4 linked regions of the Rhinolophus ferrumequinum genome follow. The protein of the gene in region 2 interacts with the protein of the main gene of each other region in a pairwise test. Links are inferred from orthologs where the notes say so. Each region holds a gene or a part of one and is shown on either strand. Other genes may lie near its edges.

Region 1 (7,473 bases), on a different chromosome or scaffold from region 2:
AACTACTATTATGTCTGTTTCTTATACTTGTCTGTGAACTCCTTGAGAATGGATAGTTAAAATAAGAGCAGCTCACAATTTTGGTGTGTTTACTATGCAGCATACACTGTGTTGTGAGATTTATAGCACTATTCTTTTTAACCTTCACATCATTCCTAACTTGATATTACTGTCTCTATTTTACAGGAATAAGAAAATAAAGCTTAGAAAATTAAGTAACTTCTCTAAGGTCATAGTTAGTAAGTAATAGAGTATGGACATGAACCTATATCTAACACCAAAAATTTCCCTCTTACCTACCACTATGTTGTTTTCTTCACCCTTGAGCATCCAGTGACTGAAATATTTTTTGTGGGGGAAAAGTTACCAAGACTGAGAAAGTAAAGATGATCAATACAATCAAAATAGACAAAATACAAATTCAAGAGTTCAACAGCAAAATCCTAGAGTGGAACTCTCTATGCAAATGAGATTCAATGTTATCACTCCTCTTAACCAAAGCCAAATTCAGGACTAGTGAAATTGAAGCTTTTGTATTAGCCAGTCAACATTTCACTCACTTGAAGTCTTCATTTTTTATAAACTCAACAATAATATCCTTCTCCGGTTGAATCTGAAGCATCTTCAAGGTCAAACACAGAAAGGGAGTTGGTTTTATGTTGCCACCATAGACGCCTCCCACAAACCTTAACTCCATGGCTTTATCGACTACAAGTTCAGCTAAAAAAGACAAACAAACAAAAAAAACAAATAGAGTGGCATCTCAGATATACTAGGGCTAAGATTTCCCCAGTTTGAAGTGGAGAGAAGTTAGTTCAAGGTTTGGTGCTGTGAATACTCATCAACAGTTTACTATTAGGAGAACAAGTGTGTATTAATAGTAATAATAATAAATGCAGATGATCATGCATTGTGGAGTACTCTGAGTACCTGCCATGTACTCTGCTAAACATTTCATGTTATCTCATTTAATCTTCACAATAAGCCATGAAGTAAATTACAGCACTGTCCCTGTTTTCAGCTAAGGATAATGAGGGCTAAGAAAGGTTAAGTGACTTGCTCAAGGTCCACAGCCAAAAAGCAGCAAGTCCTGGATTTAAATCTAAGCAGTCTAACTTCAGAGTCCACACTTGTCACCATCATGTAGGGGAAAAACTGCCAAATTAGGAATTAGAAGTGTCAACATAAGAACGTCCAAAGCTGCAGAGAATTTTTGTTTAAGAGTTTATTTGAGCCAAACTGATATGCTGGGAAGCAAAAAAAATCTCAACTGCTCTGGAGAATGAGTTTCACATTTCTTTTTATACATTTAGAACTAAGGAAGTGTGGGAGAAAGCAAGGTGGGGGAATCTCTATGATTGGATTACAGAATAGTTAACAAGATTATGTGCTCCCAAAAAGAGGATTACTCTGACATTTCAAAGCTGTGTTAACCTAGATGCCAACCATAGACAGGGCTTGCTTCAGGCAAAGATAAACCTTTTACTAAAGAAGTTACAATCCTGGGGCATGACTACACACAATGAACTGCCCAGTTAAGAATTTATGATCAGAGCATCCTGTGGAGTTACTAACATGTCAAATCGACTGCAAAGCTACTTTTTCAGTTCAAAAAAAGAAACAATAACAACTCAATAGCTACATAACCTTAAGCAAACCTCATCTACAGAATGGGAATAATAACCTTTCAATGTTGTTGTCAAAATCAACACTAGCTATGTGAAATGAACTAGGGCAAGTCATTTCACCTCTCTTTGGGCCTGTCAGTTCAAATTTAAATAATAAAGGTACAAAGTTTAAGAGCTATAGTGAGAATCAAAGAAGACAATTCAAATAAATGCTAATGCTTACATGACAAACAGCAAATAATAAATGTTAGCTACCATTAATGGGAAATCTTTTTATATACTAGACGTCAAATTAGGATAAATTCTGTATTAATTCATTCAACATTACAGTTGACAGCTTATAGCTGGGTGTTAAGTACTAGAGATACAGATAGAGGGATAAAAAAGAGGGACACAATTATTACTCTTAAAGAGTTTACAGTCTGGCAAGGCAGAAAGCATCGAAAAAGTAACTGAAAGTGTGATGAGTTGAAAGAAGACACAGAATGCAATGAAAATATACCACAAGAGAATACAATCTAGTGTTGGAGGCAAAAGTCCTGAGTTCAGTTTTGGACATATTGAGTTGGCACGTCTTGGAATTAGATTTAGATCTCAGGGAAAGATCTGTGTTGGAGAGATGAATTTGAAGGCATCTACATGTACAGGATGTAACTATGTTATGGAGATCATCCAAGGAAAGAACTATGGAACGAGAAACTGTGCTTCATCCATGGAATCCTAGCTCGTGGTGGTGGCAGCAACAGTAACAGTACATACCGTATTTAACACTGGTAAAAAAAAAAAACTAGCACCACCATTACCATTGATCACTGACTACTTTTTATCAATATATACCTGTAATCATACCAAACACTTTTTATACATTATTGCATTTAATTATTAGAACCACCATTTAATTATTGAGGGAGCGGGAGGCGGGGGTAGGTATTATTATACTCGTTTCACAGTCAAGGAAGCCACGGCTCACTGGAGTAACAGAGCTACTAAAAAGAGGAGCCAGAATTCCAACAAAGATGAAAAGACTACCTGGCAGGCTTCTCTGAAGAACTGGTATTATATTAGGACCCGAACATGGAAATACTGCAGATGGTCCAAGTTTAGGGATAGTAAGATCATGGATTTGGTTCTGGTCACGTTGACTTTCGTTTAATGCCTTCCCGGGTTTCCGAACTTAACACTGGAACCCACCAAGTTATCATTAAACATGAAATGATTCAAAGAACACAACCGAGACACCTTTCGGAATAAGGCCCTATTATCTGTGTACCCAAAGCCCAACACAAGTCTAGGCACATAGTAGGCGCTCAGGAATCTGAATGACAAATTCCCCCCCAGTCTCACCCTCAGGGGGTCAGTCCCGTCGGCGCCCAAACAGGAGAACTGTGCCACAAAGCGGCCGATGGGGAGTCAGTGCGCTTCCACTCACCGGTAAGCCCAAAGCACTCCTCTTTCCAGTACTTGGACTCATAGATTCGCGTCCGAATGATCTTCTCCACCAGATATTGAGGGTTGGTGCCGTGGATGCTGTGCGCATCCTTTACTGTGCGGTTCGCCATTTTAGAACGCCTCCAGTTCTATTTCCGTCGGGTCCTTTAGTACGTCACATCTACGTTAAAAAAAAATCAGAACTGGAGAAAGGCGGAAGAACTCTCATTTTAAAAGCTTAGGCGACCATCTTGAGACCGGAAATGCTGCAGCGTAAGGAACTTTCTTCCGCAAACGGCGTCGCTGATGGTATCAATGATGGACGCTGCACGTTGACGTACGTACGTCATGCATACTCTATTAGGTGGGCGGGACGGGAGGGCTGGCTGGTGACGGAACGTGGAGACAGCCTGAGGGCGGGGCCACGACGTTTGGCGCGAAATTTTATTCTCTCCACCTTCTTTCCATTCCTAGCAAGGAGCCGGCTTCTGCTCCGGCGTGCGGCTCGGTGGCTGCAAGAGGAGTCCATCTGGAGCAGGTGAGAATTGCTGCAGCTCCACGAGCTCCTGAAGCGGAGACTGTGGGAAGTGGAGGGCTTGCGCCTAGCTTCAGGAAGTTTCGGCGCCCGGTGAGTGTGGCGTCCGGCCGGCTGGAGGGGAACCTGAGCCGCGGGAACTGAGGAAGTTGTCCTTTGTAGACTCAGTCATTGATTCATCCAGCAGATATTTACTAAGCCACCGTTAAGTGCCAGGCACTGTTCTAAGCCCATTAGGAGCGTTCCTTTCCCACATCCCGAATGTTGAAAGTCTTCTCGCTACACCAGGGACTGCAAGTTTTTCAGTGGGGTAGCCGGAAGCCAACAGCATGGAAGCATGAGCATTGCCACCTTCAGCGTCCTGAGACTCTCAGTAATGATCTTAATCATCCCTTCTATCTGCATTGCCCTTGTGAAGCATCGCATCTGTTCCTCCTTTGAGTCGTAGTGTAGCAAGCACCACCGAGAAGTCGGAGCTGTAGAAGTTATTACCCCATTTTACGGATGTAGCAATTGCTCCTGGAGACAGATCAGGTCTAGGTCGCTTTTTGTGGCTGAGCGGTTTGGGCTCCTACCCAGGTCTTTTTCCAGTTGAGCTGCTCTTAACTGCTGGTCACTCATCCACTCCACCTTTCCAGGAGAGAACTCTAATGACGCCTTTTCTACTTTCTAACCCTAGAATGCCAAGGCTTTCTGTTTTGACAGTTGGAAAAAGCACTGGGTTTAGGCATAAGATGCAAGATTCTTATCCTGGTGCGCCATCTGTAAACCTGCAATAATTAAATATGTTAGTTTTTTATTTTAATAGTCTGTAAAAATGGGTACTGGGTGCTTGTGGACTTTAGAAGGTTTATGAATCCCCTGAAATGAATGCAAAATTTTTGTGTGAATTATATGTGAGTTTAATAACATTCATCAAATTAGTAAAATAAAAAGAACCTACTGCCTCTTCCAAATAGAGCAAGGGATTAAGGAAGTGGGAGTGAATTTACCATTTTGCATTTTTTTACTTAATCCCCAGTAATCCTAGAGCAGAGTTTGGCACACAGCGGGAGGTTAATAAATATTGGTTGAATAAAAGGAAGTTTCTGTTATTATCTCACTTTATGGGTAAGGAAATGGAGACCCATTTGTTCCCTCAGTCAGTGTCTGGAAAGCCTGAATTATTATAATAAGCACACCAGAAGCAAGTTCTCTCAGGCATATATTTAACATTATATACTGTAACATAAGATGAAGTGGTTAAGAGCAGTCATTGGAATCTGGTTGCTCAGGGGTTGAATTAAGACTGTGCCATCCTGTATAACATTGGGACAAGTTATCATCTTGAAGTTGATAATGGCATCTACCTTTCATTCAGCAAATATTTATTATTGAGTGCCAATGTGCACTTAGTACTAAGTACTAGCATTGTTCTAGGATTATTGTGAGGATTAAATGAGATAAATTTAGCAAGAGTTTTGGCTCAATAAACATCTGCTATCATTATTTTTACTGCAACTCCCTTACCTGTTTTTCTTGGGTGTGACCCCTGGGCTGGGTAGTATGTGTGTTCCAGATATCTGGTATCTGCAATCCTGAGAGCCTGTAGTGGGTATCTCCTGGAAGCCAAAGCCTTTGCTAGGCCAAATCAGGTCTGTCTTCCCACCCCACTCATCACGCCTCTTGGGGACTATTTCTGCTGATGGTGGATGGGATGAAATGCTGGGTGGAGGGTAAGAAAGTGAAAAACAATACAAAGAGGCCTGACATCTACTATGATTTCCATATGCTGCCGCTTCAGAAGGACTCCTGATTAATTTTTTGAACTTTAACATACATACAGAAAAGTACACAAATCAGAAATGTGTAGCTCAATGCATTTTTTAATTGTTTAAATTTTTTACTTTATAATCTCTGAGCTAATCTGCCAGTTTTAGAAATAGCATGTCAGTGAGTTTTCTTAAAAAGAACATACCTATGTAACTACCATCTAGTTCAAGAAATAACATGACCAGCATCTCAAATGCACCCCGCGTCCCCAACTGTGCACCTTTTCAGTTACCTTGGTTACCTTCTATTCTCACTGCTAACACCAGAGTTTACTTCTACCTCTTTTTGAACTTTATATAAATGGAGTCAATATAGTGTGTATTCTTTTGCTGATTTTTTAGCTCATTGTTATTTTGTGAGATTTTCCCCATTTTGTGTGCAGTTGTAGCTGGTTTAATTTCATTGCTTTATAATGCTGCTATGACCATTCTGGCTCATGTTTTTTGATGATGTGTTTTTTTGTGGGTGTATTCTGTTGGAATTGCTGGATCATAGGGTATGCTTGAATAGATACCTCCAATTTTCCAGAGTAGTGTTACCAATTGACACGCCCGCCAGCAGCAGTGTATGACACTTCTGGCTGCTCTACATCCTTACCACATTTGGTATTGTCCTAATTATTTACATTCATTTCATTCACTTTTTCATTCACCTATTACGAGCCAAGTCCTAACCTAGGCCCTAGGGACACAGTTATGAACAAGACAGACAAGGTTCCAAGATCCCTGCTCTTTTGGAGGTTAACATTCTCATGTGGGAAATACAATAAATAAAGTAACATAGTGGTTATTGCTTTGATAATAACGTGGTATAATGGAACACGATCCCGAGGGGCAGTATAAAGTGTGGGGGGGTAACTTTCCATTGGGTATCAGTGAAGGCCTCTCTGAGGATTTTCCTCGCAGTTGAGCCCTGAGCCATCCCTGCAAATCTTTGCAGGAAGAGGAGAGGACGGCAATTGCCTAAGTCTGAGGGCACTAACAGCCTTGGTCTGTTTGAGATTTGGAAAAGCAGGCCTGAAGCAGGTTGTGCAGTCCAGACCCAGATAGTCTTCTTTCTATACCCCCTGCCTGCTCAGCCTAGGGTGAATCACCCACCTTTGCATATATGCATACACAGTAGTCCCCCCATATCCACAGTTTCGCTTTTCGAGGTTTGTTAACCTGCATCAGCTGCAGTCTGAAAATATTAAATGGGAAATTCCAGAAATAAAAATTCATAAGTTTTACATTGCACATGATACTGAGTAATGTGATGAAATCTTGAGCCGTCCTCCTGTTCTATCCCGCTCAGGACTTGAATCGTTCCTGTGTCCAATGTTGTCTATGCTATATGTGCTAACTGGTTAGCCAGATCCGTTTATCAGATTGGTCACCAGCTATTTTGAAAGAAAGACCACAGTCACATACCTTTTATTACAATATATTGTTATAATTGTTCCGTTTGATGATTAGTTGTTAATCTCTTACTGTGCCTAAGTTATAAATTAAACTTTATCGTAGGTATGTATGTATAGGAGAAAACAGTATACATAGGGTTCAGTATCCACGATTTCAGGCATCTACTGGGGTATTTAAATGTATCCCCTGAGGATGAGTGGGAACTGTACTGGTTTCATTGAACACAGCTCATGATCTAGAAAAGGAATGTTAAATTTTATCTTGACTTGGTTTTGAAGGAGGATGCCTGCTTTGTTAAGCTAAAATATGATCTGGATTTAGAAGAATTGAGAGTATGTATTTGATGTATTTGATGCGTGAGTACCTTATTGATATGGAGGTAGTCCTTCTGTATGCCAATTTTTGGTTTGAAAAAATGAGATCATTGTGCCAGTGTAACAAAATGTCATAGTCAAAGTGACAAATCAGGCCATTTATCTTACAGTTAGATTATTTAAAAGTTGTAGAAAGTTTGCTGAGAGATACCAACTTGCCATAAAACACTCTCCCTGATATTTCGATTTTTTTTTTTAAATGACAGAGCTTAGTGAGTACTTTGAATTACTTGCATCTTTTATCTGTATCCATCTATTTTGCCTGATTCATCGAGGAAAGGTGAAAAGTTTTAAGT
Region 2 (8,357 bases):
CCAAAACGGGACAAGGAGAGGCGCGGGCAGCGCAGAGAAGTGGTGTCGTTGCCAGTGTCACCCACAACCCCATGCTCGACAGTGCCCTTCCGGGCAGGCACAGCTCTCCCCTTGCCCCCACCCAAGCCCACCTGCTGAGAGGGCCCTGGGGACGAAAGGCAGTTCACAGGCAAGGGCCCCCCGAGAGGATGCAGGCCTCTGGGGAGGAGCTGCTCCCAGCACAAGGCCCGCATGCCGGGGGGGCACCGGGGTTCACAGCGCCCCGTGCCCATCCATCTCCAAAGCAGGTGCCAGGGCCCTCCGAGAGCCAGAGAGCTTCCAGGAGAGCAGACAGACTCAGCGGCCACCTGTGTCCATGCCCTATCGCTCCGCTGAGCACAGGACACTTGTCACTTACCGGGGTCCCGGAGGGCTGGAGGAGGGGGTGGGGACAGAGGGCTGGGCTGGCACTCACCGAAGACGAGCGGCTGAATGTCCGGCTGTGCCGCCTCCGCCGCCTGTGCTTCCTGCGGCTGCTGCGCTGGCTGCGATAGCTGCTGTTCTCCCGGTGGTACTCGTAGGAATGGCGGTAGTCCGCGTCATAGTAGGCCTCGGCCCGCTCCCGGCTGTAGTCGTTGCGCCTGTAGCTGCCACAGTACCGCCGGTCATATGCTCTCCGGTCTGATGAACGGTCATCATAGCTGCTGTTGGACAATAAACACCCATTAGGTGCATCTGTTCAGGCCACGTTCCTTGCCACATCAAGTACGACGTCCTCCCTCAGTGAGGACAAAAAGTACTGCTGGAAAAATGGCTCTCAGACACTCAACACGTCACTCCGACAGGACCAAGGATGACAGATGCGAAGGAACTAAGCACGAGGACGACTCACCCCTTGCCTGTCACCAAGACCTCTGAAAAGACATGGGCAGAACTACTGCCTTTTGGGTGCTCCTCACCCCTGCACTGACTCAATGGAACAAACAGCCATCTCATTCTCGAGTCTTTCCTGACATCCAGCTTTGCTCCAAACTGTCCCTAAGCCATCGCTCCCCCTGAATATGCCACTAAGCTATTAAAACCATGCAGACCTCCCTGTCTCGTCTATTGGCTCATTAGCCACGTCTAGCTCCTACTCTTTGTCTGGGACGTTTCTCCCTTATCTTTCAGACCAGCTTAGATGCCATGCTGTCCAGGATGTCTTCCCTGAACCAAACCTGCTGGGTGCTTCCTCGGCCCCTCACTGTACCCTTCCTCCATGACAGCCCTCTCACACCACAGGGCATGTGCCTCCTTTTGTTGTCCACCGGGAGCACCCCTTCTCCCAGCTGCTTAGCAGGTAAACCGACTACACGAGGGACGCCGAGTATGAGGCCTCACCTCCGGGAACGGACATGGTAGCTGTCCTCCCGCCGCCGCCGCCGGGTCCGGTCACTGCTACTTGACCACGAGCGGCTTCTTCGCCTCTTATGCTTTCGGCTCCGGTAGTGTTCATGGTAACTCCCCCGGCTGCCTCGCTCTGAGGAGTGGTACCTTCGGGGATGGGGCATCTGCAAGGGAAGGAAAAACAGAAATAGTGTGGAAAGCTCGGGGTTTTCAGAAGTGTCCCCAAGGACTCAGGTGCTAAGCCGCTTTCTGCCTTTCTCTCTCTTTTTACCACCCACACCAACCTCCTCAGTCTTCCTCTGTACCCACAATACCTCCTCAATGGAGTATACGTTCACCTACTAACTCTGGGTGAAAACGCTAGGAAGCCTCCCCTCACCCCCTGGATCCCTTAATTCTGCCCCACTCAGTGCACTGCCCTCCTCTGATGTTCCTCCAACTTGGCTCCATGAAGCCGTGCAGGCCTGGGCCACAGCTCCTTACGAGTGAAATGGTGGAGCTGGTGGCAACTGCCATAGTTCATCCTTGGCTGGAATCTAAGCCAGGTCTGTGCCATCGGAGTTCCTCACAACTCTACAGAATAAAGCTTTAGTGCACACTGTTACAATAAACGTTTTATGGTTATTAAAGGTGCATTTTACCTCCCCAACTAGACCATCTGGGTTCTAAGGGCAGGAATCCCGTTTACCAGGATTCTACATACAGCAGTGTATAAGCAAGTTCTAGGGCCCTGGGTCTTAATCACCTCTCACATCTCCAGCCAAACCGCCCTGGAGAGGTCTTAATTCAGGCAGCCCCAAGCTTCCCACAGCTTCCCATCTGGCCCCTCCCCTTTTGTGCTTAGGAAGTACAGAATAACTGGTTTTTCATTAGTATCAGCACCACCTGGCTAAGGGCCAGCCACCTTCCAGTTATTGGGAATGGAATGGTGTGGCGCACAAATCCTTTTTTTCCTTCAGGGAAAGAATCAAAAGATAAATCACTGTCACAATCCAGGAAGATGAGAACAGGAGGGCCGAATGAAATGCAATAGGCCCAGGGACAGACAGAAGTCTTGGTGGAGGGAGCATTACTTGTGGAAAGGCTAATGACTCCGGCATCTGGCTCCCACTCGGAGCTACTTCTTTCCAACCTCCTCAATTTGAGGAGGAGGCTGGTATTTGATTCATGCCTGGCCTAACAGGGCTTGCAGGAAGCCAAGAAGATGCAAGCACAAGATTCTCCCAGGTAACCCAACCTTGCTTAGCACAGCCACATAAATGTCACCTCCCCACATACAGACTGCCACCAAAGTAACCCCACAAAGCGTCTCCCGTCTACAACCTTGTCCAACTTCTAAGTCTTTTGTTTCCCTTTCTCACTCAGGAAATCCAGAACTAATTTCTGAAGTCAAACTCTTTCCATATCCTCCAAGGGACACGGTGGTGTCTTGCCCCTCTCCAGCCTTGGTTCAACTTTGATATCCTGCTCCTTGTCATTTCTGGAACCACTCCTATCCCTACTCCATCATCCCTTCTACTTTGGTCCCTCCCAAGTTTCCTATAGGTTTTCCCGGATCCGTCTAAGGCAAGCCGGTCTTCTTCCACCTCCACTCCCTACCTCTCTCCTCTACCGCTTCGCAGGTCTTCAGCCCTCCTCCTCTCCTAATCTCGCCTGGGTCCCTGGCCCCCAATTCAACCCTATCCCCGCCCGCCCCGCGGTCGCCATCTTTCCGCGCGACCCCGCGGCCCGCCAGCCCGCGCGCTCACCGTTCTGGCGGCGAGGCCCGTGCGCTTGTCCCACAGGAAGTCCGTGATGGCGGCGGCACTGCGGCCGGAGTCCCGGCACCCCCGCGGCGACGAAGTGCGGCTCCACCCCCCGAACCCGAGACCCTGGGACCTCCCGCCTCGTGCCCGGGCTCCGCTCCAGTCCCGCCCGCCCCGGCTCTGTCCCCGCCCCCAGGATCCGCTGGGCGCCGCTCGCACCGCCCCCGCCCGGGGCCCGATCCCAGCTGGGTCTCCGGGTCTGGCCTCTCCGATCCGCCGCCGCCACCGTGAGCGAGCACGTACGTACGCACGCACGTCCTGCGTCGCTTCCCAGTTACCCCTGGGCTCCGCCCCCAGGGCCGCGCACGCCACCGCGTCCTCGCCTACTAGCTCGCGGGCGTGGACCCGTGAGAGCCGAGGAGGTTCCGGGGGCGGAAGTTCATGGCGATGGAGAGGGAGTCGCTGGGGCTCGCCAGGCCCGCTCCGCCCCGCCTCGTGTCCTTCTCTATCCCTTCTCGATCTTTTGCCCCTTTCCTGAGACTTCCCTGGCTCACTGAAATCGGTTTGGAGGTTTCAAAAAAACGGTTGTCATTTAGGGAGTGTCGCCGCTCCGCAAACCTTTTGAGGCTCGATGTTGAGGTCTGCTTCTCCCAACGTAGGTTGTAAATATCCAGTTCTTAAAGCAATCCGCCTGTCTAACCACAGCAAAGAGGGCCTCCCGCCTTTCCTCCTCAACAAAAGCTATGCACGTGTGGGGTCGGGGCATGGCCGTGAAGGAACGGTTTGAGATGGAGGGATATAGAATCGGATGCTGAAAAAGGGGAGATCACTTGAGAACGGTATGTTACGTACTTACACACCATATAAGAAGTGTAAGTTTATTGCATTGAAAAAAAGAAGAGGAAAGAGAAGACCTTAAGACAAACTGGGCAATTAGAGACGCTATAGAAGGGACTGAGAAATAGAAAGGGAAATGTAAAAGAGCCTGAGGATAACTCTGTTAAAGTCAGAATATCAGGGGAGCTGGGATGAAGGATTGTCAGATGGAGATTAGATCACTTAGCCAGAAATGGTTTAGGAAAAGTTCCCTAAAATAAAAGAGGAAGGCTAATGAAGGTGCTGAGAGGACAGTGGCGAGTCCACTTCCTCCTCCAAGTACACTTTCCCAGGTCATTCGTTCATTCAACAAGCATTTACTGAGTGTCCACGATGTGTCCGCACTGTGCCAGGTGTCAGGCTCCTGTTCTTTAGAGCTTCACAGTCTAGTGGGAGAGAAAGGCCTGTAAACAGTTAAGGGCAGCCTTGTGAAAAAAGTGGTTAGAAAGCTCTAGGCTAGATCCTACCTGGGAAATGTGTCTCTATGTTTCCTAGAGCACATGAGATCTGAACCAACTGTTGTGTCCTCAGGGTCCACTCAGGGACGGGCAGAGTGGCATTTGAAGGTTGGCAGAGTGAACTCGGAAAGGGAAATACTAGGGTGAGCAGTGTGGAGAACAGAAGAAAGCAATATGCTTAGAGTGTGGAGAGAAAGAAAGTGGAATGCAGGAAGTCCAGGAGCGAGAGTGGGAAAGAAGAATCTCAAAAGCCATTCCCCACCTCTTCTATTGGTCCCCAATTCATCGCCCTCCTTGGTCTCACAAACCACAACCACCTTCCGGTTTTCCCGCCATTTGAAGGCGTCCCCCCCTCCCTGGCATTCTATGAATAAAAGCCCGTCAACTCTAGGCCACGCCCTCTCCGTTGTTCCTGCAGCGTTGACCCGCGGTCTCCTCCTGCACTTGGACAACCGCCGCCATTCGCTAAGCCACGCCTACCCCGGAGTCCCTCCCGGTACCGGCTTCATTGGCTCCGCCTCCTCCAGGGAAGGCTCTCGGACAGCCCCGCCCCCGTCTGCCCTGCCCAGCTTTCGCGCTGCCCTCGCCAGGGGGCGCAGCGCAACCCGCCCGTCGCCCGCGGGGGAATCTGTCACCACACCCCCTCTGCCCGGCACGCTGGCAGTTCCCAGCCAACTACGCCTCCGCTCCGAGCCCGCGGGGCTGCGCGGGCTCCGATTCCGGGAGGGGCCGGGGGTCCCGGATGGCCGCGGCCGGATCTAAGAAGCCAAGCGTGTAAGCCGTGGGGAGTCATGGAGGCGGAGCCGCGGCCGACGACGGGGGCCGGCGACCGGGCGACCCCTGGACTGGAGGCGGTGCCTCCCGTTGCCCCGGCGCCTACGACCGCGACCTCGGGTCCGATCCCCGGGTCCGGATCCGGACTCGAGTCCAAGAGGAGGCAGCTCGGCACGCTGCTCCAGCCCACGGTCAACAAGTTCTGCCTTCGCGTGTTCGGTAGCCACAGAGCAGTGGAAATCGAGCAGGAGCGGGTCAAGTCAGCGGGGGCCTGGATTATCCACCCCTACAGCGACTTCCGGTACTGGGGGCCCGGCAAGGAGGGCGGGGGACGCAGATCCCACCCCCACGGCCGCGGCACCGGGACCGGGCCCGCCTCACCCTCCACGGTCACTTCATTTCCGGCCGAGGGGTTCCCGGGTGGGGCGAGAGAGTCACTTCCACCAGCCTAGCCTGGGAATTCTCAATGACTTCTCAGGCTGGGGGCGCCGGAAGGGACAAGCAGACGCCGGAGACCTGGATTTCCCGTTTCAGGAACCCGGCACTCCACCTGGACCACAGGGACTACTGGAGTTAGGGATCCTTGCGTCCTCCAGTACTGCTTGCTGGGGACCTGGGAAATCATGGCATATTCCGAGGCTCGCGGTCAGCCTGGTGGAGAAACCGAGCTCCGCTACCTTCCACCCACCCTACCCCCTATTCCCACCCCTAGCACCTGCCTAGTTCAGCAAGGCAGGTTACCGGGAAAAAGAGGGACCCTGAGGAAAGGGGGGTGTTCTGACAGCAGTCTGGTCGCTGTCCCTGGTGCTGAAGGCGGGATGCGGCGGGGCATGGCTGGGGCTCCGCGATTGAGGCAGCAAGGCGGGGGCATGGCCACCGCCCAGGTGACTGTCAGAGAAAAGGCACTGAGGGTGAGGGCAGGGCCATTTCATCGTCCCCGTCAGGCTGTACCTCTACATCAAGGTCGCTAGGGGAGGAGAGCAATCCTGTCCTTGCGGGAAACGAAGGACAGCTTTTGGGTGAGGCAAGGATATGTGTAAAGCACCCAACCCGGGGAGCGAAATGAGCCGAAGGGATGAGGCGTGAAATCAGGAGTCTGGAAATACAATTGGAGACCTAGACATCGTCTTGAATCCACGAACCTCCACATTCCCTAACTGTTCCTTTCTCCCATTATTTCTTCCACTCCCATCTCCTTTACTGCCTCATTCCCCCCTCACCATGCCCCTTTTCCAGTCTCCTGTGGATCTCCCTCCCCTCCCCCATTTCACCCTCTGCTGTACCCCCAGAAGCCATGTCTCTCCCTTATTATGGTGCTTCATTATCTGTCCTCCCCACTGCATCACCCGCCGGGCTTGTGCCTGCCTGTGAGCTGGCAGTGAAGTTGCTCTATGGCTGGGAGAACCCTCTTTCCCGCTCCTCTCCCAGCTCACAGTACAGGATTTCTCCAGTGGCCCAGGCGGGGGAGGAAGAGGGGGTCGAGGATTTTTTTTTTTTTTTGGTTGATTGAAAGCACTTACTCTGAGGGGCTGTCTGGAGGCCTGGACTTGGGGACCACCAAGCTTCTTTCGGGGGCTGAAAGAATTGATTTTACAGTCAGAGGGGCTGGGTGCTGGGTCAATGATGTGCTTAGCTTTGTCCTGGAAATAAAACCATCATAGTTAATTGGGACCCTCAAATTGTCCGGTGTTTTTTGTTTGTTTGTTTGTTTGTTCTGAATGAGGGCTTCACCTAGCTCCTTCCTGACCTGTTCTTTCCACAGCTTCCACCACAGCAGTGTGGCTCTCCCCTGCTCATGCCCTTGCCTGGGCTCAGAGTCAGTGGGCACAGGGAGGTCAGGGGAGGAGAGGAGGGTGGAACTTCAAGCCCAGGGGCCGCAGGATCTCCTATGGAGCTTCTCCACGGGCAGTCCTGTCTGAGGTTCTGTGGAGTGGGGTGCAGCATCCCTGAAAAGCTCAGTTTAGATGGGAGGCAGGACAGACCACCCCCAGCCTGGGACACAGTAGAGCAGATCCCAGCAGAGAAACAAGAACCATGGGTCCGACTGTCTTGGGGAGGTGGGTGGGGGTGGGGAAGGCTGGGGAGAGGGTGAAGTACTACACCAGGAATGGGCAGATAGCTGAGATGGGGGGGCAACAACCTCTTGAGGAGTCTTGGAATAGAGTGGGTGAGTCACACCACCAGCTAGTGCTTGTACAGAACTGTCACAGCCATTGTCTCAGTGCATATTTTTTCAACAACCCCGTGAGATTAGCACAGGGAACTTGATTTTTAACTTTAAAAATATTTAATAATAGTGACATATATCACATATATAGTAAGGATATTACATATATATTAAGAAGATATATATGTATATATTAAGGGTATAGATAATATTCTATACATAACAGATATGTAGTAGATATATATATATATATATATAGATACATAGTGTGTATCTATCTATCTATCTATATATGTATATAGTAGATATGGAGAGAGTGGTATAGTATATAGTGGACCATATGATTGAGATATGTTTTATATATATATTATGTATATACATTATATTTGAAACATATATATTATGTAAATATATATATATATATATTTGAAAGAGTAATTCTAAAGCACACTCTCAACAATGTAACAACTATCTAGGTCAAGAGCGGTACCCTATAAGCTCCCTACTGCCTTCACATTCCTTTCCCACACCTACTATTATAACTTTTATGGTACTCCTTTTCTTACTCTTCTTTATAGTTTTACCATTTTTCTGTGACTCCCTAAGTTATGCACTTGAGTTGGGCTGCTTTTGAACTTTGTACAAGTGACATCATGCGATGTGTATGCTTTTGTTTCTTGCTTCTTTTGCTCAACATTAAATATGTGAGATTCATACATACTGTGGCACGTGGCTGCAGTTGGATGCTTTCACAGTTGCGTAGTATATATACAGGGGCATGAAAAGATCAGATGCATTTATCTCATTTATCTACAGTTTCCTACTGACGGACACTCAGGTTGTTTCTGGATTTAACACTGCTATTCCGGTATATACCTCCTCCAGAGAATGGAATTGCTGGGAGTACAATGTTTATCTTTACGAGATAATACCAAACTGTTTTCCCAAATGGTGGTCCAATGTCCACTCCCA
Region 3 (7,848 bases), on a different chromosome or scaffold from region 2:
AAATAGATCGCGAGTGTGGCCAAGAAGTCCCAGGCCTATGAGTTTCACTTCTCCAAAATTCTTTGAAGATCCCCTGCCTTGGGCAAACCAACCACAAGAAGCATCTGAGTGACTAACTCAAGACAAATAGGATCATGCCCAGGTGCCACTGGCCAGAGGCCTTCGTTGTCAGAGCCACGTGAGCGTTAATATTTCTCAGTTCTGTTCACCCCAGGCCTTTGATTTCCACAGGGTGGTGTTTCCAGAGCTGGCACCATCACACCCTCATCTGACTTTCACCACCTTCTCTGTGCAGCTGGAGGACGAGCTGTGGTTCCTCCAGTTTTGGTCTCCGCTAAGCCCTTCTCATCAACACCAGGCCCAGATTTCTCCTCCACGGCTCTGTGGGGTGGGGCAGGAGAGGGATGAGTAGATCAAGGCAGAGGCTCCCCACAAAACAGAGTTTGTCCCTGTTTCCTTGAAGCTCGTGGCCAGCTGTGGCACCCACAGCCACAAATGAGGCAATTAGGGAGCTCAGTCGCTGGCCACCCTGCCACCTCAGAGTCCCCAGATTCCATGAGGTCCCCACATGAAGAAGCAGCTCCCCCTTTCTCAGTGATCATGGGACCAGGAGGCAGGACCCAGGTTCTAGGCCCAGCTCTGCCACTTACTAGCTGTATGGCTGGGGTTCTCTGATGGCAGCATCGTGAGGTCATTAGGCAAGGAGTCACATCTCAGCTCCCTTGCTCTCTAGCCAGCCCACCTGGGGGAGCAAGGGAGGCCAGTCCTCCCTCCTCCCTAAGCCTCAGTCTTCTCATCTGTAAAGTGGAGGTGCTGATTCCCATCTCACAGGGCATCGTGGGGTCAGGAGAGATACATTTGGTTCAAGCAGCACATAGTAGGTGTTGGGTCTTCCCCCCATTCCCCTCCACTTCTGTAAAATGGAAGTGATACCTGCTGAGGCTGAGGCTCTAGGTGGGTGCGGATCCAACGAGCCGGTGAATGGAAGGCCCCGCCCCAGCTGGGGGCGGGTACAAAGATAGGGCTGCCATTGTTGCAATGCCGCTCACCTAGTGGGCCTACCATGTCTGTGCTCCCACCTAGTGAGCGCAGCCGGTTAAGCCATTCGCACACCTGAGGGGGGTTCAGTTTCATTTTGGCCGGGCAGCAGGCATTTCAGGAAGGGCCCCTCATCGTTTGTGTGCTGAAAAATAAAAGCGCTCCATCTCAGCGGACGTCTGCTTGGGAGGTATGTAAGCTTCCCTCCTCATCCGCCCACAGAGAGGCTGCCTTGGGCCTGACTCCCCCCCCCACCCCCCGCCCCACCCGCCATGGGCTTCCAGCCAGAGGAGACCCAGCCCCTGCCTGCAAGGCTCTCCCCTCTAGAGTGCTGTGTGCTTCCATAGAAGGAAGCATGGGGTTGGGGGCTGTGTGGGGGAAGCGCAGAGCAAGGGACCAGACGCCACCTAGGGTCAGGGAAAGATGGTCAGGAGAGCTTCCCAGGAGGGGTGACCTCTGAAATGAGAGGAGGAGGAACCACTGCTTCACCGCCCCTGGGCAAGTTACTTCCCCTGTCTCAATTTCAGGTTCTGTGAAAGGGGCCAGTCATACCTGCTTCAGAGGGAAGGGCAGGAGGCTTAAATGAGCTGATGGGTGTAAAAGAACTTACAAATAATACCTCACACTCCTAGGTGTCTAGGAAATAGGACCTGCTGTGCCAGGCTGGGGAGATGCTTCTTTGTCAAGGGTCTTTTTCTTGGGTGGTTGACACCTGTTACTTAGTATAACCAAGTGTCTTGGTTTCAGATAAAGCCCAGCTGTAACCGAGCGTGAAGTGAAGAAGCCTGGGAACCCTTTCTCTTTCGGGTGGGTAATGGGAACTCCACCCAGCGGGAGGGAGGCAGAAGACTCCAGAATTAAAATTCTTGCCATAGTTCTCTGCCTCCCGGGAGACCTGTGCCCCTTACACCTTTGTCCTAGGGCATTGCAAAGCTAGATGCACAAGAATTTAAAGGTACTGCCCCAGAGTAATTGTCACTTCCCTCCACTTGTTCCACCATTCATTTTACCTGTCTTTTGAGCATCTGTAGTATGCTAAGTGATGGGAATTCTCTGTGCCAGACAAGGTCCCAGCCCTGATAAAGCTCACGATTCGGGGGGTCGAGGGGGTTGGGGGAGAGTAGGTAAATGTAAAAACAAAAAAAAAAACATAACAGACTGCAGTAAATACTATAAAGGGAAAAATGGGGTGCTGTAATAGAGAATTTGAGAGGTTACTAAGGTAGTCGGGACATTTGAAGAGATGACATTTAAGCTGAGATCGGAAGCAGAAGCTGGCCATGGGAATAGCAGAGATAGGAAAGTATGTTCCAGATAGAACAGCACTATAAAGGTCTGGGTGGTGGGCAGGAGAAACTTGTAGCATCTGAGGAACAGAGTGAGGGCGAAACAAGTTGGGGTCTAAGTGAGTGGGGGGGACACAAGATGAGGGTCAGGATGAGCAGGGGCAATGGGGGACTGGTAAAGGGACTGTCCCTGTAGAGGTTTTAAGCAAGGGAGCAGCAAGATCAGAATTTCCTTTTTCAAGGCTCACTGTGGCTGCTGAGAAGGCGAAGAGGGCAGGAGCGGAAGCCAGGAGCTGTCCCTGTGGCTGTGACCCTGGAAAGTCACCTCTCCTCTCTGAGTCTGTTGCTTCACACATGTGTGTTGTGAGAATCAAATATGGGAATGAACAGATGTGCACTTTGGAAAGTTGGGGGAAAAAATGTATAAAGGCAGGAGATTCCAGGTCTCACTAGAAGTGGAGGGTCCTTTGGGGAACTGTTGAGTTAGGGTCTTGGGTGGAAGAGAGAGTGCTGGGCATCCAGAGTCCCTGCCTGAGCACTCCACTCCACATCTGGAGAGAGCCCACTTTTTCAGCCCAGGTCACAGGGCCCCTAAGAGGTCTCGGGGGCTGGGGAATGGGTGCTGGAGGCTCTTGACTCCAGAGAGGGAAGGGTTACCTGGTCTTTGACCAACTCTGAAGCTGAAGCCAGGGTTTTTGTATTTGTTTTGCCCTTTCTTCTGCCTCCACCCCCACTCCGGTTCAAGCCGTTGTTTCTCAGTCTAATTGTGTAGGACACAGCTCCCTGGCCCATGCTGGTATTGTGAGCCTTGTGCTCCCTCCCTGGCTGAGGCAGTCTGTTGCCAGTCCCCAGTCGGCTGCTCACGGCAGCTCTCGCTGGTTGCCGGCCGCTCACACTGGCTGCCGGCCATTCACACTGGCTGCCGGCCATTCAGGGCAACACATGGCAGCCCACGGTAGCCCACGGTTGCCCACGGTAGCCCACGGTAGCCCATGGTAACCCACAGCAGCACAGGCAGCACAGCTCCAGGGAGAGCTGTTGTTCATAATTTTAGCTGTAGAGGGCGCTGCTCACTGGCCCATGTGGGAATCCAACTGGTCACCCCAGCGTTAGAAGCCCCGCGCTCCAAGCACCTGAGTCATTGGGCGAGCCCTGAAGCCAGGGTTCTTAATACTGTGTTTCCCCAAAAATAAGGTCTAGCCAGACAATCAGCTCTAATGCGTCTTTTGGAGCAAAAATTAATATAAGACCAGGTATTACCAGGTATACTATAATGTAATACCGGGTCTTATATTAATTTTTGCTCCAAAAGACGCATTAGAGCTGATTGTCTGGCTAGGTCTTACTTTCGGGGGAAACACGGTATTTTGGGAGGAGAGTCACACCTTTGAGCCTGGAGGCAAGCATGGGATTCCCCTCCAGCCACCCAAATGCACACACACTATTTTTTCATTCTAGGTCAGAGGAATTCTGGAGTTTTCTGAAATCATTCATGAACTCTGGCTTAAAGACCCCTGGGCTAGAGGAAGGGGGAAATGAGAGGAGAGACACCTGCCTTTTTTATTTTATCTCTTTTCACCCCAATCTTTGTAGCTCAAACGGCCCTTGACACACCTAAGGGCCACTGGAGGGAAGATCCTGTCGAGTGTTGTGGCACCTTCCTGACACCTGACTCTTGGTATCTGCCATTGAAGATAACTGAAGGGGGACTTCAGGTTTCCTAGGAGAGGTTGCAGCGAAGCCCCTTCCTGTCCCCTTAGGGGCTGGCCGTGGTGGGGCCTCTCCCTCTGGGAAAGGGAGGCCTACCTCCCACACCTTGGGGGGTCTCCCGGTGAAGCCAGGGAGGGAACCGGAGACACGCGCTGATCAGGCCCCACCCGCAAAGGTGGCGTGATGCCGGCGGGACCGCAGCCCAGCCCGCCCGGATCAGCTGGGTGCGCCGTAGCCCCCGCAAGGGTAGGGACCCAGGCGTCGGGAACCCAGGCGATGCGGGGTGCAGCATGCCGAATGTGTGGCCGCAGTGCTGTCGGCGCTGGGGGTGAGGCAGGGTTGCATAAGCGCAGAGGGGGCGGGGGAGGCGGGACCCCCCTCCCTCGCGGCGGGCTGGTCGGTGGGCCGGTCTCGGTGTCCCGGGCGGGGCGCCGCAGCGGCGGTGGTGGTGGCTGCGCCCGGGCCGCTTCCCCATTCGGGCACGAGAGCCATGGAGGCGCTGAGGGAGTCCGTGCTGTGCTTGGCGTTGCAGATGTCGACCTACAAGCGGGCCACGCTGGACGAGGAAGACCTGGTGGACTCGCTCTCCGAGGGTGACGGGTACCCAAACGGCCTGCAGGTAGGAGCCCTGGCCCTCTGTGAGACCCTGGCCCGGGTTGGAAGGCGAGGGAGTACCGGGCATGCGCGCTGGTGCTGCTCCCGCCCTTGCCTCCGCCTCCATCCTGCCAGCCCCGGAGGGGTCTGTACCAGCCCGCAGCTCTGGACTGCCCTGGGCTACCCAGGGAAGAAACCTTTCTGGAGCACAAGTGTTGCTGAGGCTCTGAGCTCCCGGACTGGCCTCCCCTCACCAGCCCTGCCCGTACCCACTCCCCAAATCCTCCCGACCACCTGTTCATGGGGCTACAGCCTTGGGGACAGAATTGAAACACACACCTTCCCCACCTCTCCAGAGCTGAGCTGGTCCAGTTCCCTTTTCACAGAAGAGGCAGTCGCTAAGCAGTGAGGGACTTGCCCTGGGTTGCACAGCCCATTACTAGCAGCGTCTAAAACTGCCCATTTTTAGCATAAAAACTGCTTCCCTGTAGCCCCTTCAGTCCTGGGCCTACTGGGTGGTTGGTCACCCTATCTAGTAGGCATTACCCTATTCTTCCTCTTTCCCTGCATTTTCTGGAGGCAGGCAGTCCTCCTCTGCCCCCTTTTCCTGCTACTTTTCAGCCTACTCAGAAAGTCCAGTTGTTCTCCTCCCAGGGTCTGCCCCTGGGGGAAGCCAATCAGCCCACCACCTTCCTGCCTTGTGGCACCACAGTGAGCACTGCTGCTTTCTGCTCTTCTCTCCCTGTGGGACTGAATGGGGCCAGTTCTGACCAGGACCTCCGCCAGAGTGGGGTTGGAACCCAGGCAGATGGGTAGGTGCGAGTTGGAAGCGTCAAGGACACCCAAGGGGACCCCGAAATCTGGCTCCTGAGAAACCAGTATAGAGAGAGGAGCCAGGGCATCTCAGCTCAGGAGGCCTTCTGCCAGGCTGACCAAGGGAGGCACTGGGGAGAATTGGGGCTACCCAGTGAACTGACACCAAATCACAGCTCATCCAGAGAGCAAGTTTATAGTATGTGGAAACTCAGGCTGCCAGACCCAAACCCTACTCAGGCACACCTATTTGAAGCTGGAATAATAATACTAATAAGGGGAGATAGCACTGATTGAGTCCTTCCAGGCTAATTAAGTAGTCCCAGGGAGATCAGAACTCATGACCCCAGTGGTCTGCCCGCTGGCATATGGCACCCTTCCCACTTAACCTTCAGAACCACCCCAGGAGCTGTAGGGGTTACTGCTCTCACTTACAGGTGAGGAAACAGAGGCTCTGAAAGGGGAGACAACTCGCCGTAGGTCACAGAGCTAGAAACTGGGGAGTGAGCAATCAAACCCAGTCTGTGTAGAACCTCTTCCCTGCGGACCCTTCTTAAGAAGCTAAATCCAACAGGAAATGAGATTTCTGTGGCAGGCATTTTTCCCTTCACAAATCAAAACAGCATCTAATCAGCAATCTTTCTCAGTCTCATCTTCCACAGAAGGTTCTAAATATATCCGCACAAAAGCATTTGGAATTCACAACAAAATACTGTGCCATGCTGTCATCATAATAGCAGCCCACATGGATATAGCCTTTTCAGGTGACCAGGTACCTTCTTCATCCAGCTGAGGCAGCTCAGTCCCTGAAGCCAGGGGCCCAAGTTTGAATTCTGACTCCACTCAAGGTCTTCCGGCAGGCTAGCTGCTTAATCTCTTTAAACCACAATTCCCTCACATGTAAAATGGGAGTTAGCGAAATGGGGTGTAATGCATTTTACAGGGCCTCTGTGATTGTTGTTTTTATGACCTATGAGGTAAGGGCCCCTGTGGCCATATTACAGACAAGGAAGCTGAATCTTAGGTTAGGGACATTCCTGTGGTCACAGAGCTGTCATGTTGGTTGGAGTGCAGTGTTGGGGCCATTTCACCAAACGACCAAACTGAGTCCATTGTCCACTTTTTATACAGGAAATGCCACCTTGGGGCACATCTGTGGGTACCCAGCCTGGCTTGCTTGAGCCGCCACAACTTTCCCAAAGCAGCTGTGAACTAGCCAATGCTTGTTCTAAGAGTCGAGAACCCATCCACTTCCACTTACAAAGCAGAGTTTTCTAGTATTTTTATGTTTTTAATCATTGATGTTTTTATTCCCAATGTAAAAATTTTACATGCTCATTTGTGGGGGGAAAAAGAGTCCAATATAAAAAAAGATTTAAAAAGAAATAGTAATCTAAATGCTCGGAGATAAGTACTTTTAGTTTTTCCCACTTGCATGTATATGTTTTTAAACAGATGAGCTCACTCTAAGGACACGATGTTATACGTCCTGCTCTTTTCATTTAATGCCACTTCATAAGCATTTTTCTATGTTGTTAAAAACTTCCAAAACATGCTGCCATTAAACATTATAACACTTCATGGTACAATATGTAAAAATATATTTACTCAATCAGCTATCATTAGATAATAGGCCCAATAACTGGAACATTATGGGTGACCATCTTTTAGCCTTTTGGATAATTTCCTATGATTTGGATGCTAGAAACAAAACTGCTTCCTCAATTTTAGGCTTTTAAGAATGGACCTAGTCCCCCAAATCTCCCTCTCTCAGACAGCTATAAAAATTAGCGACTTGATTTTTCAAGACTTGGGAGCCCAGTGGTTCTAGGAACTCCGGTTATCGGTACCAACACTAGTCAATGAAAACACCCTTCTTTCAGCCAAACTTGTCACCTTTCTTACTGACAAAGTGCGGAATTTAGTTGGAACAAAGTTCTACCTGCTCCTCACCTGAAAGCGTTTTTCTTTTTCTTTGTCTCATGTTTTAGGCACAAGTTCATTGTCATTCACCAAAATTAGTCAGTGTGGACTGAGCACAGAATTTAAAGCCAGATAGCTCTAACACGGAGCCCCCGCTTTGCCTCTGATGGGCTCTCAGACCTGAAAGCAACTCACTTAAATAGCTTTTTTTTGGGGGGGGTGTAAAATGGGGTTCATATTATTAATCCACCTCTCCGAGCTGTTGCAAAGATTGAAATGAGACAATATAAGTGAAAGCATTTGGTATAGTGCACAGAAAATGGATTTGATTGTTACTGGGATTATCATTGAAACTCACCACGCGTGATATCTCAGTGATGCCCTCAATAAAATAGCTTTTCTCTTGGAAGCCTGTGCTCTGCTCAGATTGGCTGCCTGGTCTCCCCACGCCCCAGTACACACTGTTTCAGTGGCTTGAAAGGAA
Region 4 (8,244 bases), on a different chromosome or scaffold from region 2:
TTCCCTGAAGTAAACACTGTTTTGAAGATAATTTCTGGTCTATAACTTTGTGTTTTTCATACATGATTTCTGTATGTATAAAAGAATACATTTTTTATGCTTTTAACATTTAAATAATAGCATCATACAATACATAGCAATGTGAAAATCTGAAAGCTCTTTTTTTACTTAATATTATGTTTTCTAAATCTAACCACGTTCGGACAAGTAGCTCTAGTTCATTTTTAATGCTGTATTGCATAACTGTATATGAATATAATACAAATTATCTATGCAATTCATGTTGTATTTCAGGCCTGAGTATGAATGTGTCACACTTTATTGATTTATGTATCGCTTTGTCTTACTAAGTACAACTCTGTCTTGTTTACTATAGTTTTATAATAAGTCTTTTTTTTTTTCCAAGTCAAGTTGTCCTTTCAATCTTAATTGTGGAGGGTGCCATTCAGCTTCAAGTTGTTGTCCTTTCAGTCTTAGTTGTGGAGGGTGCAGCTCAGCTCCAGGTCCAGTTGCCATTGCTAGTTGCAGGGGGCGCAGCCCACCATCCCTTGTGGGAGTTGAACCGGCAATGCAATCTTGTGGTTGAGAGGACTCGTTCCAACCAACTGAGCCATCCGGGAGCTCAGCGGCAGCTCAGCTCAAGGGGCTGTGTTCAATTTTAGTTGCAGGGGGTGTTGCCCACCATCCCTTGCGGGAATCGAACTGGCAACCTTGTGGTTGAGAGCCCAGTGGCCCATGTGGAATCGAACCGGCAGCCTTCAGAGTTAGGAGCACCGAGCTCTAACCGCCTGAGCCATGGGGCCGGCCCTATAATAAGTCTTGAAATCAGGTAGTGCTAGTCCTCCAAAATTGTTTTGGTTTTCAAAATTGTTTTGGTTATCCTAGGTCGTTTTCATTTCCCCACAAACTTAAATTCACCTTGTCAATTTCTATAAGAAAGGCCACTGTGATTTCAATTGGAATTGCTTTGAATCTGTATGTCAGTTTAGGGAGAACTGACATCAATACTGAGTTCTCAATGCATGATGAGTAAGTATCTCTATTTAGGTCTTCTTTGATTTCTCTCAACATTGTTTTGTAGTTTTCAGTATATTTAAGTATTTTTTTATGCTGTTGTAAATGTTTTAAAATTTCATTTCAAACTGTTGGTTGCTATATTTAGAAGTACAATTGATTTTTACATACGACATTGTGTGTTAGGTATCTATTACTGTGTAACAACACACGCCTAAATTTAATGGCTTAAAAATAACTTTAGTATTTATGATCTCTCTCAGTTTCTGTGAGTCAAAAATTTCAGAACCACTCAGCTAGGCAGTTCTGGCTCATGACTTGCAGTCAAATGTTGATTAGGACTGTAATCACATGAAGACTGATCACTGAACTTGTGTAGATTGGATTTATGCTTTATAGGTACAGATCTGGGGAAAGCCCAAGTTGTTTCTGAAAATACAAGACTCTTCAAATTTTGTTTTCCCTGTGGATCTTACTGGGCATTGGTTTTAGTCTTTGAGTAGGTCATGATTAGACTTTACCTTAGGCCAAGGTCCTTATTCTTATGGTGTGGCCTTTCTGGTGTATCAGCTAGATATCAGGGGCTTGATGAGGTACTGATGAGGTCTCTCCTTAGAAGACCTAAATCTCCAAAGTTCTCTACCACTGCTCTTTCCCTAGCTTTGTTTGTGCTCTAGTATCTCTCTTCTAGTATCAACTTAACGGTGGCTTAAATCTGGTAATACTTTCGTGGTTCTTCCCTGCACATGGTTACCTCTGGGCACTTTTTATTTTATTTTTATTTATTTATTTAGTGAAAGGAATAAAATTATATTAATAATTCAAAACTCATCATGGCTACGAAAATTCTGTTAATCTTAATTCTGAATTTATACCATCAATTTAAAAGGAACTTCACCCTTCAGAATCTGCATTATATTTTAAAAATAATGTTGTCATGATCCCTGAAGTCTGAAGAGAATTGGCTGTACATTTTCAGTTTACCCCTCTTTACTTAGGAAATCATCTGCATCCATAACTAAGCCAACTAAGCCAATCTATCTAGAGTCATTTAATACTACATTTTCTGATTAATTTTACCAACAATAATTAGTAGAACAATCTATCTTTCCTGAACTACAGAAATGACAACAGTAGCTCCAGCTTATTGAACACTTAACTGCCTTTTTCTAACCCTTTTGTAGCAAATCTTTGAAACTAATTCCTAAATTCTCCTTTATAAAGACACTAAAGATTAGAGGTTAATTTCTCTAAGTCTTTATGCTTGTGAGTGGTAGAGCCAGAATTTGTACTGGCTCATTGTGACTGCAAAGCCTGTGCTCTTTATCACTACACAATCGTTGACTTGAATAAACCAACAAGGCTAGAGTTCAATCCATTATAACCTTGAAAACTTTTCCTTTTTATTAACATAATGAAAGAAAATCATATTTTTAAGAAGTTGTGCTGTATTTTTACGTAACTTTTGATATCAAAGATTTAAATATAGGATATTTACATTAAAGCTTATTTTCAATTACTTCTTAGTACTGATAGGATAAATATGGAATAGGGAAAACGTCATCTTAATATCACCTCTATTTTCTTGGCTGGTTTCTCTTGCTCTGCCTTACTTTAAAATTATTAAAGAAAATGTCAAATATTAAAAAAAAAAGGTAGAGAGTATGTCTATTCACATATGCATAACCCAGTTTCAAATCATGGGCAAGACTTATTTCATCTATACCCCCCCACCCATATCCTACTGCCCTCTACCAGTATATATTGAAGTAAATCCCAGATTCCGTATCATTTCACCTGTAAATATTTTAGTATCATGAAATTATAAACATTCTTTTCTAAACATAACTTATTACAACCAAAAAATTAACAATTCTTTCAAAATCATCAGACTTTCATTCATTGTTCAAAGCTTGCTGGTGTGTGTATTCATGTATCCAAATTGGTAGCCGAATAAGGGCCAGAGTATTAGTTTTGTAGCGCTGCTATAACAAAGTACCAGAAACTGGTGGCTTAAAATAGAAGTTTATTGTCTCATAGTTCTAAAAGATAGAAGTCTGAAATCAAGGTGTTGACAGTGCCGTATTTCTTCTGAAACCTATAGGGAAGAATCCTTCTCCTTGCTTGTCTAGCTTCTGGCTTTTGCTGGACCACTCCAAACTCCTTGAAGAGAGAAACCAGATACTACGCTATATGTATTTTTTTAACCCCAGAGCCTATAATAAATTTGGGACTGAAAAGGAATTTAATAAATACTAGTTGACTGAACAAAAGAGTAGAATATTATACAACGCTTTTATTGATTCAGCTTCTTCTTACCTAACCATTGAATATCAACCTGAATTGAACCATGGGCAGATACGCCACTTAGTACTCTTTTTATATGAAAACCATCTTGCCCACCACCCTTGCCCTTTCTCCCCTTCATCTAAGCCAAGTCTTTTATTTCTCAACTAGGCTTTATTTTCTGTTTTCCTTGACTCTTCTCTATCCTGTATCCCCTCCCCAGTCGGAACGACATGCCCCTAAGGGCTCCAATAATATCCTGAGCTTACTCTATATGAGGCAGTGTGTATTATCAAGTGGGTGGGGGCTGGAGCCAAATTCCCTGGGTTTGAGCCATATTACTACTACTCCTGATCTTCTGCACTTAATTTCATTATCACTTCACTTTCCCTTTATGTAAAATAAAGCTAGTAATATAGCTTAATTGGTTTTCTGGAAGATGAAATCAGATTGTGTAGGTCAAGCGCTCAAAACAGTATCTGGCCCACAGTAAACAACACAATTTTTAGCTGTTATTCTTACACAGTAATTCCTGTTACTTTGTTTCTTCCCTATGTTACACTAAAAATTCCTTAAAGGCAGAAGTATTGCCTGTTCACCCTTGAATCCTAAGCATCTGATACATAGCTGGGTTTTGTATTTACTGAAGTTTCTTATTTGTGTTCTTCCACTGCTTAAATAAATCTTTCCACTGCCTTCAGTTTGGTCTCAATTTGTTACAATGACCATCAAGGACCAAGACACTAGACTTTCTCTGAACATGTCATTTGTTTTCATATAACAATGTTACCTTTTTTCCCCTTCAAATTATATTTCCTTTATAAAGCCAGTTATGAAGTAGTGAAACAAAATTATTTTCATTCCTTTGGACAATCAACTTAAAGTTTCCTTGCAGATTTTACCATAATATGTAGTTAAGTAATTTTTGGTCACTTCAGGAGTTTCAATTTCTCAATAGTCTGTTTAAATCAACTGTGTACCCTAGAGCCCCCATAAATGTTTAAATCAAATCTGTTATGTGAATTACAAAGCCATTTTAAAATAAAGATAATTCATTTTCCCAATTAAAAACAAAACTAGTAGGTTTTTGTGACAAGTGAGCTGGTTGCATCCTGAGCTGCATCTGGGAAGGCCCGGCACACCAACTTAGAAAGCACATTTAGTACCCAGAGCCGGTAAAGTTGTGGGGTGCTGCCAAGGGACCGGGCCAGACTTGTCCTAATTAAATCTTCGATTCCCAGAACTGAATCAGGAGTCCCGCGGAGCGACAGAAAACATCTTTGCCCTGAGGCTGGAAGGTCCGCCAGTAGGTGTTTCAGGTGAGGAAACCGAGCTACCTAAACGCAGTAAACGCAGCCGATTACCCGTAAATAACTCACACAGCCTAATCTCTGGAAAGCCTTATTCCAGGGACATCCGGGCTGCAGGGGGCGGGGCGACGTCCTGACGTTATGTCACGTTCTCTTGCTTGTTCCGCTTCCCCGCCCCTCTCCGCACTGTGACGTTCCCAGGGAGGAACGAAGCGTAAACAGCGCAGGGCATTTCGGGAGCGGGAGTGTTTCACGCAGGAAGCAGGCTCCATTTTAGCGCCGCTGGCCGTTGCCATCTGTTTCCCTACCCTCCCTGTCGCCCCCTCCCGTCCCCAAGTCTCAACGGGTAGGCTGGGCCTAGGCCTCCGGAGGCTGGAGTGCAAGGAGGGAAAGGAGAAAGGGAAGGAACGGGGAGAAAAAGGGTGAGTCGCGAAAGGTGAGTGGTGGAGGCCAAGGTGCGAAGCGCGCAGCCCGGCGTACGGACTGACGGACGTGCCTGTGCTAGTGCTGCCGCGGCTGGGGCCCCCGCGCGAGTCGCGTCGGAGCGGCGACGGCGGCGGCGGCGGCAGCAGCGGAAACAGGAGAGGAGCAATGGCGGCCGACAGCCGGGAGGAGAAAGGTTAGTGCGAGGAAAGGTGACGGGCGGAGGCGGGGCTCGGCAGTGGGTCGGTGGAACCGCGGTTCTGGGTTGCGGGATGGGGGTTGGGAGGTTAGCTTCCCGACATGGAGCCGGTCCCCCACACCGAGACGCTTGAACTCATTGGAAGAGACCAGGCCTGCTCTTTCGTTCGGTCTCCATTTCACTTAACACTTCATCTAGCCTATGGTTTTTCTTTGATCCTAATTCTCCTGTTCACTTTCCGTTTAGCTGTCCTGGGCGCGGCTGAGAGAAGGCCTGTTCTGAGTTGCAGGCCCTTAGGTTTATTTCCTGGCAGGATTATGCGTATGTAATGCGTATTTTCAGCACATCCTTTTCTGTTAGGCTACATTTCAAAATCCCTTAATGCCACGATCAAAGCTGGTAGTCTAGTAAGTGAGCATATTTAAGAAGTCGTATGGATGGATTATTGATCTCGAGAAATACCTACAAATAACTTCAAGCTGTTTTTGTTATATGGGCAAAGTGGAAAGAATTGCCCCTTTGGTTCCTCGAATACTTATTTTGGAAGACATGACGTTTGAAAATAGATAATTGTATGAGTTAGGCCTGGCAAAAAAAAAAAAAAAAATCCTGGCCACTATTTTGATGGAAACACATTGTGTGTAGCTCCCAGAGAGTATAATCGGGAACAAATGGGTGTAATTTGTAGAGAGCTGGAGGGATAAAATCATGGAGAAATATAGGAAGAACTGATGTATCAGAATGGAACCTCGTGTCTTTTAAAACACCGACCTCAGACCTAGAGATGTGAATGAATGTAGGTCCTGGGTCAGTACATGTCTGGAGAATGGTGTAGGCTAGATGCTTCCTTAAGTTCTTTTCCAGCCCTAAAATGAGCATGATAGTCGTGGAAAGCTTGTATTTGATAAAGAAAAAAATGTTGCACAGTTTACTGCCCTGTATTTCACAGACCTACCTTCCCGTGTGCCTAATTAATTTGGGGTAGGGATTTGTTAAATGGGCTCTAGAGTCTAGTTGCACTAGGCCTGTGCTTTTTTCTTAAGTTTTCTCCTTAAATGTCTTCATACTTCAAATTGCTCTAGGATAGGGGCAAGTTTGGCAAGGGGAGAGGGTGGGAATGTTTTTAAGATATTGCTCCTATCTTAAAGCAGCTCAATGATTAGGTTATAGTAGTTTAATTTTTTAAATGAATTCTAAAAAAATCTGCATCCCCATTTTTTTGGAGAAATCAGAATGTGAACATAGGATTGCATGGTGTTAGTGAATAAAGGAAACTGCTTTTAATGAGTAAAGTCAGTTATTAAACTAGATAATTTTAATCAATAATAATTAGTCAACGTTTGATTGTTTCAGAGTGTACTCTTGTGAGCTTTGTGTATAGGAGTGGATGGACAGTGGTTGTGGTGGGTGAAAAACCAAATACAATGAGTAAAAGTCAGCACTCTGAAGAATTCATTGTTAAGATGAACGTAGTTATAAATCAGTAATAGGCACAGTAATGTACATTGAGGAAGGAAAGTGGGTGATGTTTTGAATATTTTGTGTTGGAAACAGATTTATTGATGATAATGCAGTTCAAATACATAAATTTTATAACTATAATTGGGGAGTAGAAATGCCACTTATTAGCAATACTTAGTATAAATTGTCAAGTGTTTGAAAGGCCTCACATTTGTGTAGTTTTTAAAAACTTGATTTCTATAATTGAACTTACATATTTTAAAACTTCTGATATAAGTGCTTATCTTTATAGTTTAGATCAAAGATTATCTAGATTACTGGGGAAGCTAGCAAATACAGTCCTACTAGAATTGCTTATTTAATTTTGGAATGGGAAGATTTCTAGAATAACTCATTTTGCAAATAAGGAAACAGGCTTGGGGTGTTTCACTTACTTGTTTGTTGTCACACAGCTAGAATAATAGCCAGAATTAGAATCAATACTTGACTCTTCCTTCTCATACTTGAACAAGAAAAAGTGGGAAGCTAAGTACTTACTGTCATCAGTTACTTTAAGAAACATTAGAAAATTATATAGATAACCCCTGCAAGAATCTTACACATGTCACATACCTTAGGTCCCTTTTAAATGATTTCATAAATGGGGTAAGATTTTGATAAGAAATGAGTTTAATTTGTAGAGATTTCCTATTAATCACCAAACAGTCAAAAGACTTTTGGTTATAAAGTCATTCGATTATCGGGCTTTGCACATTAGCTGTGTAATAAACACATTAAGTTCTATAATGGTCTGTGGTACCCATACTTATAAACTGAAGCCTATATAACTGGACAAATTGCCAGCTGCCTCTGATTCCTGTGGTGATTATTGGTCCCAGAAGTAGATTTGAAGGACATTGGAATGTTGGTGGTGGTAACTAATGTTAAATGCCATTCCCCCCCCGCCTTCAAGCTGTTGTTTCTATCTAGTTGTGTAGGACACAGCTCCCTGGCCCATGCTCGTGGTATTATGAGCCTTGCATTACCACCCCCAAGGCAGTCGGTCTTCCGTCATTGGTCGGCTGCTCACAGCAGCTGGTGGCAGCTCTAGCTGGCTGCTCTCACTGGCTGCCAACCTCTCATACGGGCCACCAGCTGCCCATGGCAGCACACGGTAGCCCATGCCGACCTCCAGCTGCTCACAGCAGCCCACCTCCAGAGAGAACTGTTGTTCACAATCTTAGCTATAAAGGGTGCAGCTCAATGGCCCATGTGGGAATCGAACCGGCGACGCGCTCCAACCACGTGAGCCACCGGGCTGCTCCAAATACAATTTTTCTATATGAGGAAAAACACATCTTTTATATTACAAACACCTTGTATGAATTTTAGGCTTTTATAAAGTTCTCTCCAAAGCATATACGTTATACTCCTATACATTATGCTCCTATACATTATAAAAGGGTAATGTATTCAAAGTGTGGATAATTATCACTTTCATAAGTAACATGTTTTCTATATTACCAAACTGAAAGCTCCAAGAGGGCCAGTAGCATGTCTGTCTTGTTCACC

What was found.
Region 1: the proteins of CLK2 (region 2) and PRPF38A interact in binary tests that used the Homo sapiens proteins (3 or more experiments, as listed by UniProt). The link is inferred for Rhinolophus ferrumequinum from reciprocal best matches to the Homo sapiens genes CLK2 and PRPF38A.
Region 3: the proteins of CLK2 (region 2) and ECE1 interact in binary tests that used the Homo sapiens proteins (3 or more experiments, as listed by UniProt). The two-hybrid records come from large-scale screens. The link is inferred for Rhinolophus ferrumequinum from reciprocal best matches to the Homo sapiens genes CLK2 and ECE1.
Region 4: the proteins of CLK2 (region 2) and YTHDC1 interact in binary tests that used the Homo sapiens proteins (3 or more experiments, as listed by UniProt). The two-hybrid records come from large-scale screens. The link is inferred for Rhinolophus ferrumequinum from reciprocal best matches to the Homo sapiens genes CLK2 and YTHDC1.

The regions. Positions count from the first base shown.
Region 1 is NC_046292.1:37,402,004-37,409,476, reverse strand, and holds the start of PRPF38A (pre-mRNA-splicing factor 38A), read right to left. Parts: upstream 3,374-7,473; 5' UTR 3,188-3,373; coding exon 3,058-3,187; exon of another isoform or gene 2,973-3,057; intron 721-2,972; coding exon 561-720; intron 1-560. UniProt on the Homo sapiens protein: Involved in pre-mRNA splicing as a component of the spliceosome.
Region 2 is NC_046305.1:290,202-298,558, forward strand, and holds the start of CLK2 (dual specificity protein kinase CLK2), read right to left. Parts: upstream 3,413-8,357; 5' UTR 3,114-3,412; intron 1,530-3,113; coding exon 1,360-1,529; intron 684-1,359; coding exon 455-683; intron 1-454. Other genes in the region: HCN3 (potassium/sodium hyperpolarization-activated cyclic nucleotide-gated channel 3), read left to right, coding at 5,236-5,519. UniProt on the Homo sapiens protein: Dual specificity kinase acting on both serine/threonine and tyrosine-containing substrates. Phosphorylates serine- and arginine-rich (SR) proteins of the spliceosomal complex.
Region 3 is NC_046292.1:14,414,349-14,422,196, reverse strand, and holds the start of ECE1 (endothelin-converting enzyme 1), read left to right. Parts: upstream 1-4,524; coding exon 4,525-4,653; intron 4,654-7,848. UniProt on the Homo sapiens protein: Converts big endothelin-1 to endothelin-1.
Region 4 is NC_046288.1:27,395,249-27,403,492, forward strand, and holds the start of YTHDC1 (YTH domain-containing protein 1), read left to right. Parts: upstream 1-5,096; 5' UTR 5,097-5,201; coding exon 5,202-5,229; intron 5,230-8,244. UniProt on the Homo sapiens protein: Regulator of alternative splicing that specifically recognizes and binds N6-methyladenosine (m6A)-containing RNAs.